2 linked regions of the Coturnix japonica genome follow. The protein of the gene in region 1 interacts with the protein of each later gene in a pairwise test. Links are inferred from orthologs where the notes say so. Each region holds a gene or a part of one and is shown in the gene's direction. Other genes may lie near its edges. The genes, in order: NF-kappa-B inhibitor delta and SS18.

Evidence for each region.
Region 2: the proteins of NF-kappa-B inhibitor delta (region 1) and SS18 interact in a two-hybrid assay, tested with the Homo sapiens proteins (2 studies listed by BioGRID and IntAct). The two-hybrid records come from large-scale screens. The link is inferred for Coturnix japonica from reciprocal best matches to the Homo sapiens genes NFKBID and SS18.

What each region holds. Positions count from the first base shown.
Region 1 is NC_029539.1:3,677,208-3,681,494, reverse strand, and holds the start of NF-kappa-B inhibitor delta, read left to right. Parts: upstream 1-1,450; 5' UTR 1,451-1,775; coding exon 1,776-1,970; intron 1,971-3,047; coding exon 3,048-3,099; intron 3,100-3,558; coding exon 3,559-3,725; intron 3,726-3,846; coding exon 3,847-3,963; intron 3,964-4,287. UniProt on the Homo sapiens protein: Regulates the expression of IL-2, IL-6, and other cytokines through regulation on NF-kappa-B activity. Functions in the regulation of inflammatory responses.
Region 2 is NC_029517.1:93,986,784-93,991,367, reverse strand, and holds the start of SS18 (protein SSXT), read left to right. Parts: upstream 1-1,670; 5' UTR 1,671-1,755; coding exon 1,756-1,824; intron 1,825-4,584. UniProt on the Homo sapiens protein: Appears to function synergistically with RBM14 as a transcriptional coactivator. Isoform 1 and isoform 2 function in nuclear receptor coactivation. Isoform 1 and isoform 2 function in general transcriptional coactivation.

The sequences.
Region 1 (4,287 bases):
TTGCTGCCTGCCTGGTGCCTAGCACTCCAGTTGCCACCCAGGCAATATTTCAAGTAACCTTAATGGTTTATGCCTGAGTGAGGTTTGCAAGATCAGAGCAAAAGTCTTGAGGACTTTCAAAGCATATTCCACTGCTTAATATTCACCAATCTAGAAGACGTGAGCAGTAGATCACATAAGTGATCATAAAGTCACTTGAAAATAGCAGTAGTCCAGGCGCATTGAAATTAGTGGCTTATATTAGCAGAAAAACCCAGCAAAGAAATGAATTAGAAGGAGTTTGGTTCACCACTGCTTACTCCAGCTTTACGAGCACAGAATCACTCAGTAAAACTGGGATAATAGGTGTGTGAACCAAGCCCGTGGTTGCTAAGATTGCATTTGATTTCCTTTCACTTCAATGTATGTAAATTCTCTGTGTGGATACCAAAGATGAACTGCTTCAGAATTTCTTTCTGGGTTGTTCTGGTTAGAAAAAGACAAATTATTCTCCAATAAAGATCTATAGTAACTTCCATACGCCTGGAGTGTTTTATTTCCTACACAGAAGTATGACCCAGCACGCTGGGTTAGCGATCAGTCTATGAGTACAGCCCAGAGCCCAAGGAGCTGTTGGGCTTTCTGCTAGTTTTGCACACTGAGTCAGGCTAATAGAGGATCTCCATGGTCTAAATGTGGGCTGGGAGCACTGCTTGCTCACTGACACGAGCACTGCTGCTGTTTGGGTGTTGGTTTGATCACAGTCATCTGCTATTGGTAACCATGGGGATGCACAGTGTGCACTCATAGCTCATGCTGAGCTTGACTGCAAACCAGACCAGCTGTGAAGTTGCATTTCTGCTTCCTAAAATTGCAAGCTGTGGCTCTGGGGTACAAAATTACCTGGGGGAAGAAGCGACTGCCCACCAGTTTATGACTAAGAAGTGTTGAGAGTGAGCAAATTGGGCTGCTAGGGCTGCCTTGTGCCTTGGTTTTATGCTACACATGGCAGTGTGACCCCAAACCAGTGGGAGCCCCAATGCTGAGTTTGTGTGGGGTTCTGGTACATTGTGGCACAAGTGTCAAGCTCACCTGAGGGATAGTGCTGGTGTAGAAGGGAGCCAGCATGGCAAAGCTTGGGGTGCTGAGGGATTGGGAAAGCAGCAGTTATGTTGAGGTAGGAAACTCAGTTCCTGGAAATGGGTTTTCTGAATCTCAAGCCTTTGGGGTTATGGATGGGTCTGTGGGAACTCTGGATGTAAAACCCCCGAAGCAGCACTGTTACCCTGTAAAACTGTTTGCTTCCAGGGTGATCCATGACCAAGCAGTGATCGATATCTTTATTTACTGTCTTAGAATTCTACATATTTATGCAGCTAAAGGTATGAGGGCGTTTACGTTGGCAGCTGCAGAGCGCATGAAGGAGCTGCGGAGACTTGATGCCAAGGAACACAGAGGAAAGGTAATGCTGACCATCTCCTCTTGCAAACAGCATTTGGGATGGGCACTGGCTATAAGGCTGAGAGCAAGCGATGCTGTGTTTTCAGCCCCCCTCAGCCTCTCTGTTACTGCAGGAGAAGCTCTGAGCAGTGCTATGCCTTGCTCTGGCATTCTGAAAGTGCTGCACTTGCTTTGCCATCTGAATTAAGAGAGCCCAGCAGGAGCTGGGAAGTGCCCCTCACTCACAGTTCTATGGGATTCCAGATCTGCCTGTGAGCTCCCCTTGGCTTGTGCACCACAACCCTTGGCCTTCTAGATCCCATCCAACCCAGTCTGCTTCTGCCTTTCTTCTCTTTATGATCACATCAGACTCTCAGGGCTCTCTGCTGTGCTGCCCTTTCCAGACCCCGCTCCTGGTGGCCGTCACTGCCCGGCAGCCAGCAATCGTCCACGATTTGATCCAGGCAGGAGCAGATGTCAATGCTATAGACAACAAAGGGCAGTCAGCTCTGCACCTTGCTGCAACATATGGGTATGCCCACGTTCTCCAGGTAGGAAAAGCTTTTATGGTTTCATTGTTAGCAGTGTAAGCCTGTTATCGTCTCATTATCACCATCTTTAAACAACTCTTTCAGATGGGAGGATGATTGTAAGCAGTTCAGATTTTTAGTAGAGAAAAAAGTGTATCTATCTTCTTGCATGGTGGGCTCGCATGGGTTGAACAAGACTCTGCAGGGTGTTGGATAAACCCTTGGGTTTATATTGGGTTTATATGGGATATGCAGCTCCAGCGGCCATCGGTTCAGCCTGGCACCCATCCCAGGAGGGCCAGCAGCAGTGGTTAATGTATAACACAGGCAGTTCTTTGGAAAGCAGGTGTTTCATTTAAAGTGCTGCGCGTTCAGATAATTCCATCAGTGCCAATTGGACTAGTGGAAACGAGTCTTTTTATTATGTGTTTGTTTTTTAAGCATAAAAAGAGGAATCAGATGGAGCAAGGAATAGTGCACGTGGGTTTGCTGCTCTCCTGGGTCACAGGCATGACATGAGACGGTGTTTTTTGGTTTTCTTCTTCTTAACACCTGAGACGTCTAATCTCTAAACATCAGGCAGCTCAAAGCCTCTTGTCAATGTTTGCTCTGGGTATATTATATTCTTGTTATGATAAGAGAGCACAAGCCCTAACGTTTCTGAGTAATCCTCCTGTGCCTTGTCCAGCATGACGGGGTTGGGATGAGTCACCGTGCAGCCACATCCCCATGCAAGATGCTGCAATGCAAACAACGTTCTGCATTCAGTCCAGAGCAAAATATGCATGAACTGTGGTCATTCAGACAAGGCTGAAGGTCTGGCTGCATGTCCTTGGGTTACTATTAGGGGACTTGGTGATCATCTTGTGCAACCCTGAGTGACATCCCTGCTTGGAAATAGGACTCAGAGTGCCAAAATCTAGTGCCAAACTGCTTAGCCTACAGTTAAATCATAGTTATCTATTGTCTAATTGCTTCTTTTGGGAGGGTTGGGGGTTGGTTGGTTGTTTTTTTCCCCATCTTTTGTTAGCTCCAACCATTGTGGTATGGACAATGTTCTGCTGAGCTAAAATTGCCACATTTCTCTGCCACTCCCAGGTGATACTCTCACAAGGCCTCCCTCTCGATTTAGAAATGAAGGATTTTGAAGGTGAGACCTTATGCACAAGTATTTTATAGTGGTCCTAAAAGAAAAATGAAGGGAAGGAAGAAGTGATACCAGCAATGTCATGGACTGATGCACATTGGGGTTGGCTGGTGCATGGGGTGATGGGCTCAGATGCATCAGTGCTGGAAGCTCAAATGCCACAGGGCTCAGTGGTATCTCAGTGCACACATGGAGCTGAGTATGCACCAGAATGCCCCCAAATTGTTTGTACATCCAGAATGGGACTTTTGGAATTAGAGAAAGGTCTCAGGGCTTAAGGATGCCCTTTACAAGATATGTGCATAGTATCTTTTAAGGTTTAAAAGACCCTTAAAGGCTTCCTGGTCCAACCTCCCCTGCATTGAGCAGGAACACCCACAGCTCCATCAGGAGCTCACATCCTCCCCTTACGGTGTTGCTCTGATGGAGACCATCATCGCTCCCTCCCTGCTGTGTCCTCAGGCCATACCCCGCTGCACTGTGCTGTCCTGGCCCATAACACACTGCTACGGGACCGGAGCCGCCTGGCACTGCTGGAACAGCAGAGTGAAGATCTGCAGCACCAGAGCTGGGAGCTGGAGAGCTGTGTGCAGCAGCTGGTGCAGGCAGGAGCCTCCATCTACAGCCGGGTAGGAACTGCTTCTCCCCATCCTTCAGTTGTCCCTCTGCTGTTTGCTGGTATGGGGACTGTGCCTTAAGTTGCTCTGCAGAAAGATTCTCATTTGGTGATGTCTGTCTGCATTTAAATAGGATGTGAAAAGCAACAAGACAGTTCTTCACTACACCGTCCAGGATGGGAATGTCTCCCTGCTCCGCTATTTCCTGGAGCTGAATGCTTTCAAATCCAAGGACTTCATCAACAGCAAGGTGAGACTGGACAGAAGCAGTGCAGATAGCACTGGGGTCCTGCAGAAAGCACTGACTCCCCTCCCATATATGTTATTTGAGCAGCAAAGAGGCAGTACAAGGGATTTAGTGCAGGGCTTGGGCTGAGCCCTGGCAGCAAGACAGATAATGGGGGGAGAGGGATGTGGGATGTGGTTTCCTGGGAAGGGATGGGAACTTTGTGACATTGGGCTGAAATCTGAGCAAACAGCTCAGCAGTGTTGTGATGCTTTGCTGTTGGCAGTGTTTGGAACAGCTGTGTGTTGGTAACCTTCCCCAGCAGAGCCCTGCACAGCAAGGGACAAA
Region 2 (4,584 bases), on another chromosome or scaffold:
GCGCAAAATACAAATGGCAAAACTGAAAGTATGAAACAAGAAGCTGAAAGAATTCAAGACAAATTTAACATTAGTGCAATCCCTTTTTGGAACAAGAGAAACATAATTTACCCTCACATTAATATTGCTGTGCATTTTGATAACAACTTACTGCTTATCAAATAGAATCTAAATCATTTTTGAGACTCGACCATTTAAACAGACAGACACTAGCTTCATTTTGCAGCAACGTGAATGGCCATGGAGGCTGGGCATGTAGGAAATCCCACCAAAGTCATGAGGTGACAGCAAGTTCAGTTGGGAAAGGAACACCAAACCAACAACAGTAATTCTTCCTCCTGCTACCTTCTATCTTCATCTATCAAGTGCTTACTTGGGGTTTGCTCTAACTGTTATCTGATTGTATTGCTGATGTTATAAAACACACACACAGAAAAGAAACACCCTGATGTTGTCCCCCCCCCAAATAAAAAAGGCTGTAATTCAACCTACCATCCTACTAGCAAAGATCTGATTGAAATATATTTGTATTTGAAGCTCTTGGTGATGATCTAGATTTATGCATCTAAATTACAATTAAATAATGTTAAAGTTGTGAGTAACTCACAAGAGCAAATAAATACGCAATTAAAGAGAAAATATACCATATGTCCTTTGATATCTAGGCACATTGCAATGCATTAAGAAAGTCATAAAAGAGGCACCCTGTTGTGGTTATGTGTTCTGAGACATGTGGCACATTTCCATTGCAGCTATCTATTTCCTTACTTGTACGCATCTGTGCCATTATTTACATGTTGTTTTTAAAGCAGAGCTGTGGAGTCTTTTTCTACTGTTTCTTTAGATCTGTGGCTATTTATGAATACAGAAGCCCAGCATTTTAAAAATAGGAATGATTAATCGTCGCAAAGAAAAGGGAAATAAATGGATTCAATTTAACTGCCTGACAAAGCAAGGAAAGAGATGTGGTTCTAATTATTAGGAATGAATGATTTTACACACATACCAGTTGAATTCTATACACCATTCTCCCATGTTTTGTGTGGAAATAGGAAGGCACTTAAAAGTTTTTCATATTTAATTAGGACAGTTATTGCAAAATATGATCTTCTTCACTCAGAGGGTGGTGAGGCGCTGGCACAGCTGCCCATAGAAGCTGTGGTGCCCCATCCCTGGAGGTGCTCAAGGCCAGGTTGGATGGGGCCCTGGGCAGCTGAGCTGCTGGGGGGCAGCCCTGCCCATGGCACGGGGTGGGACTGGGTGGGCTGTGAGGTCCCTTCCAACCCTGTTAATTAACAAATCTCATCAGTTTAATCAAAGCTGCTGTGACTGCGTTCACTCAAAGCGCAGGGAATGGTAACCATGAGTCACCGTGATGTCTATCAACTTCAGCATAACAGGTTTCTGTCCGGCGCTGAGCAGAGCGGGGTCGGAATGAACCAACGCCGCGATACACAGAGGGGTGGCTGAGGAGGTCGGCATGGCGCAGGGCGGCTGTATTCAAACGGCGCAACGAGCTCTTGATGCCGCTTCTTTGCCTAGCCTTGCAAAAAAGCCTTGTCCCCCTCATGGTTACCTTCTTGCTGCTGAAAAGCGAGGAGGAGCTCGCGGCCCAACTTCGGTTCCCCGGCGGGAGCAGGATGGGCCGTCCCGCTGTGCGGGCTCCCCGCCCTCTCGCAGCTCTGTTCCCGGATCGCGGGTTGTGCGTGAGCGGGCGGGTGGGCGCGGGCTGGGCCCTGCTGTGGCCTGTACGACATGTCGGTGGCGTTCGCGGCCCCCCGGCAGCGGGGGAAGGGCGAGATCACGCCGGCCGCCATCCAGAAGGTGAGGGAGGGCTCGGGGCTTCGCGCCGTGACGGGACGGCGGGGTGGAGCGGAGCGAGGCTGAGGCCTTGGTGCGATGGAGGGCTGCGGGCCTGCAAGCGCTGTGCGAGGCCGTCATGGAAAACAGAGCCGGGCCCTGCGTAACTGTGGGCTCGGCCTACGTGGGGAGAGTGCTGGGGCCGCTGAGAAACATGGCCCTCTCCAGCTCTGCTCCTCTCCTAAAGCTTAAAGGGAAGCGGTATGGCTGGCGGCCGTGACAGGGCTGCGGAGAGAGGGAAGCGTGCCTGTGGTGTGTATGTACTAACACTGAGTATTCCGTGTTGGTGGGGGTGAGGGAGTTCAGTGCTGTGCTTTGGAGCTTAACCGTAGGCCCTCGCTCTTTTCCATGAGAGGCCCTCTCAATTCTTGCTCTGGGATCTCTCCCACTCAATGATGGCAGGCTCCTTGTGTGGGAGCTCGTCGGATACAATCAGCTTGTGGCTTAAGAAAGAACGTGGGTGTCAGCAGGGAGGGTTTTGCAGTTCAGGGCGTTACAGAAGGTATGGGACTTCAGTGGAACCTTGCACAGTACCACAACAGTCTGTGCTTCACAAATGAAGGTGGGAAATGCATATCCACCAGGTAGAAAGCTGCCTTCAGGTCACTTACTTAAGTGTGAGAATGTAGATAATTAGGTTTTTCTTGTGCTGTAGTCAAGCTAGTAATTTGATGTTAGTGTACTGGCAGAACTCTGCTATAGCTAAAGCTGGAGAATCTTTGTAACTGGCACATGTAAGTTGTCAGGAGTCTTGAAGGTGCCTTCATCCAGCCAGTAACTAGGCTGTCTTGTGATGGCAGGTGTCTGTAACTTCTTCAAAGAACTGGTTTTCCATCAGCAGTAGCTTGATAAAAAACATATAAAACAGTGCTTTCAGTCCTGTCAGGCATACAACTGTATTCCTTCTTGTTTGTTTTTCTCTGCTTTTCTCCTAGCTTTATTTCTTTATTTTCCCTAAAGATGTCCAGCCTGTATGGCCACAGTGGAGAGAACAACCATCTCGCTGGCAGTTCTGATTTCTATCTGTATTGTAGAATGGCTTAGATCGGAAGGGACTTCAAAGCCCACCCAGTCCCACCATGTACTGTGGGCACCCAGTAGCTCAGCTGCCCAGGCCCCCATCCAGACTGGCCTTGAGCACCTTCAGTTATGGGGCCCCACAGCTTCTCTCTCTGGGCAGCTTGTTCAGCACATCACCACTCCAGGTGCTAACATGCTTTAAGTAAATGCTGCCTTTCTCTAGATGCTTGGAGACTTTTTGAGGAGGTCCTTCATTCAAGGCTTCCCTTACAAGTACTCTGTGTACTGTATAAATTATACTAATTGCTTTTTCTCCGTTCTCTTTTTCTGTTGAATTTGGCCACTGGGTTTCCTTAACACTTGATGTTAGCACATATGAAGTGTGCCAGTGTAGGAGTGTGTCCGGGATCCTCTTAGGAGTTTGCAGATGTAGTTCTGCATAGTGTCAGGAGTTCAGAAACTTGGAATATTGTGGTTCTGTCTGTGGTTCCTGCTTACGGGTGATGTTTCCAGGTCTAGCAATTTCAGGAAAGATCTGTTTCTCACTGATTGTTCTCCTGTATTTTGGTGAATTGCTAGTTTGAGTTTAGGGAAGACTCAACTCTTTGCTTTATTCTTATCTGGATGTAAATCCTGAGTGGACTGCATAAGGTTCTAAGGCTTATGACCTTTGTAGTAGAGGTGGATTAGTCAAAAGGATTAACAAAGAAGTTGTCTTTTTTTTCTGGTAGAATTTGCTAAAGTTGGATCCCCAGGGAAATGGAAGTGATGTAATTATAGTGCTTGTGCTTCCCTTGTAGAATCATAAACTTGGCTAATCTCAGCCACATTCTGATTTGTGATGTTTTGATTCGGTGTTCAGAAGATGGGAAGAGCCTCAAAGATGATTAAGTTCGTATTAGTTTTGTGAAATTCAGTAGCTGAGTGTCACGTCCATATTGTAAGGGGAGAGAAGAAGTGACCAGATTTGCAGATCTAGGATGTGACACTTGATAGGCTGCAAGGATCTGAACTAGTTTTCCACTGGGGAAACCAAGAAATTGATGTAAGATTTTCCACTTAGCTGAGCAGGCTTGGATAACTTGGTTGGTAGCTCAGATTTGCCTTGGTTTTACTGAACTTCTGCCTGATCAGAGTGCAGATGAGTGGTTAAGACAGAGATATGAGCATGAGGATGTGCAAGTTTGGGAAACTTTCTTCACTAGGAGAGTGGTTAGGCCCTGGAACAGGCTGCCCAGGGAGGTTGTGGATGCCCCGTCCTTGGAGGTGTTCAAGACCAGGTTGGACGGGGCCCTGGGCAACCTGATCTAGTAAATGTGTATGTTTGGTGGCCCTGCCAGGCAGGGGGGTTGGAACTACATGATCCTTGAGGTCCCTTCCAACCCGGGTCATTCTGTGATTCTGTGAAACTAGGCTGTTTATTTTTTCCTGCTTGTTAGCATAGAACATCTTTATTTCATGTACTTCCTGCAGAAGGCTGTGAGACCTGCAGTTTCCCATGGTTTTAGAACTTTATTTTCCCCAGAAAAGTAATTAGTATGTGTTCATATTCCCAAACGCTTCTGAAATATTGTCTATTGTGCTGGTTAAACCACGCTTTAAGAGCGTGTAATTATACAGAACATTTGTAATGTAAATCTGGCTTTACTTTTCAAGGCATTTCCTTGAAACAATCTTGTATGTTAAGCTCAGTTTCTATCAGTT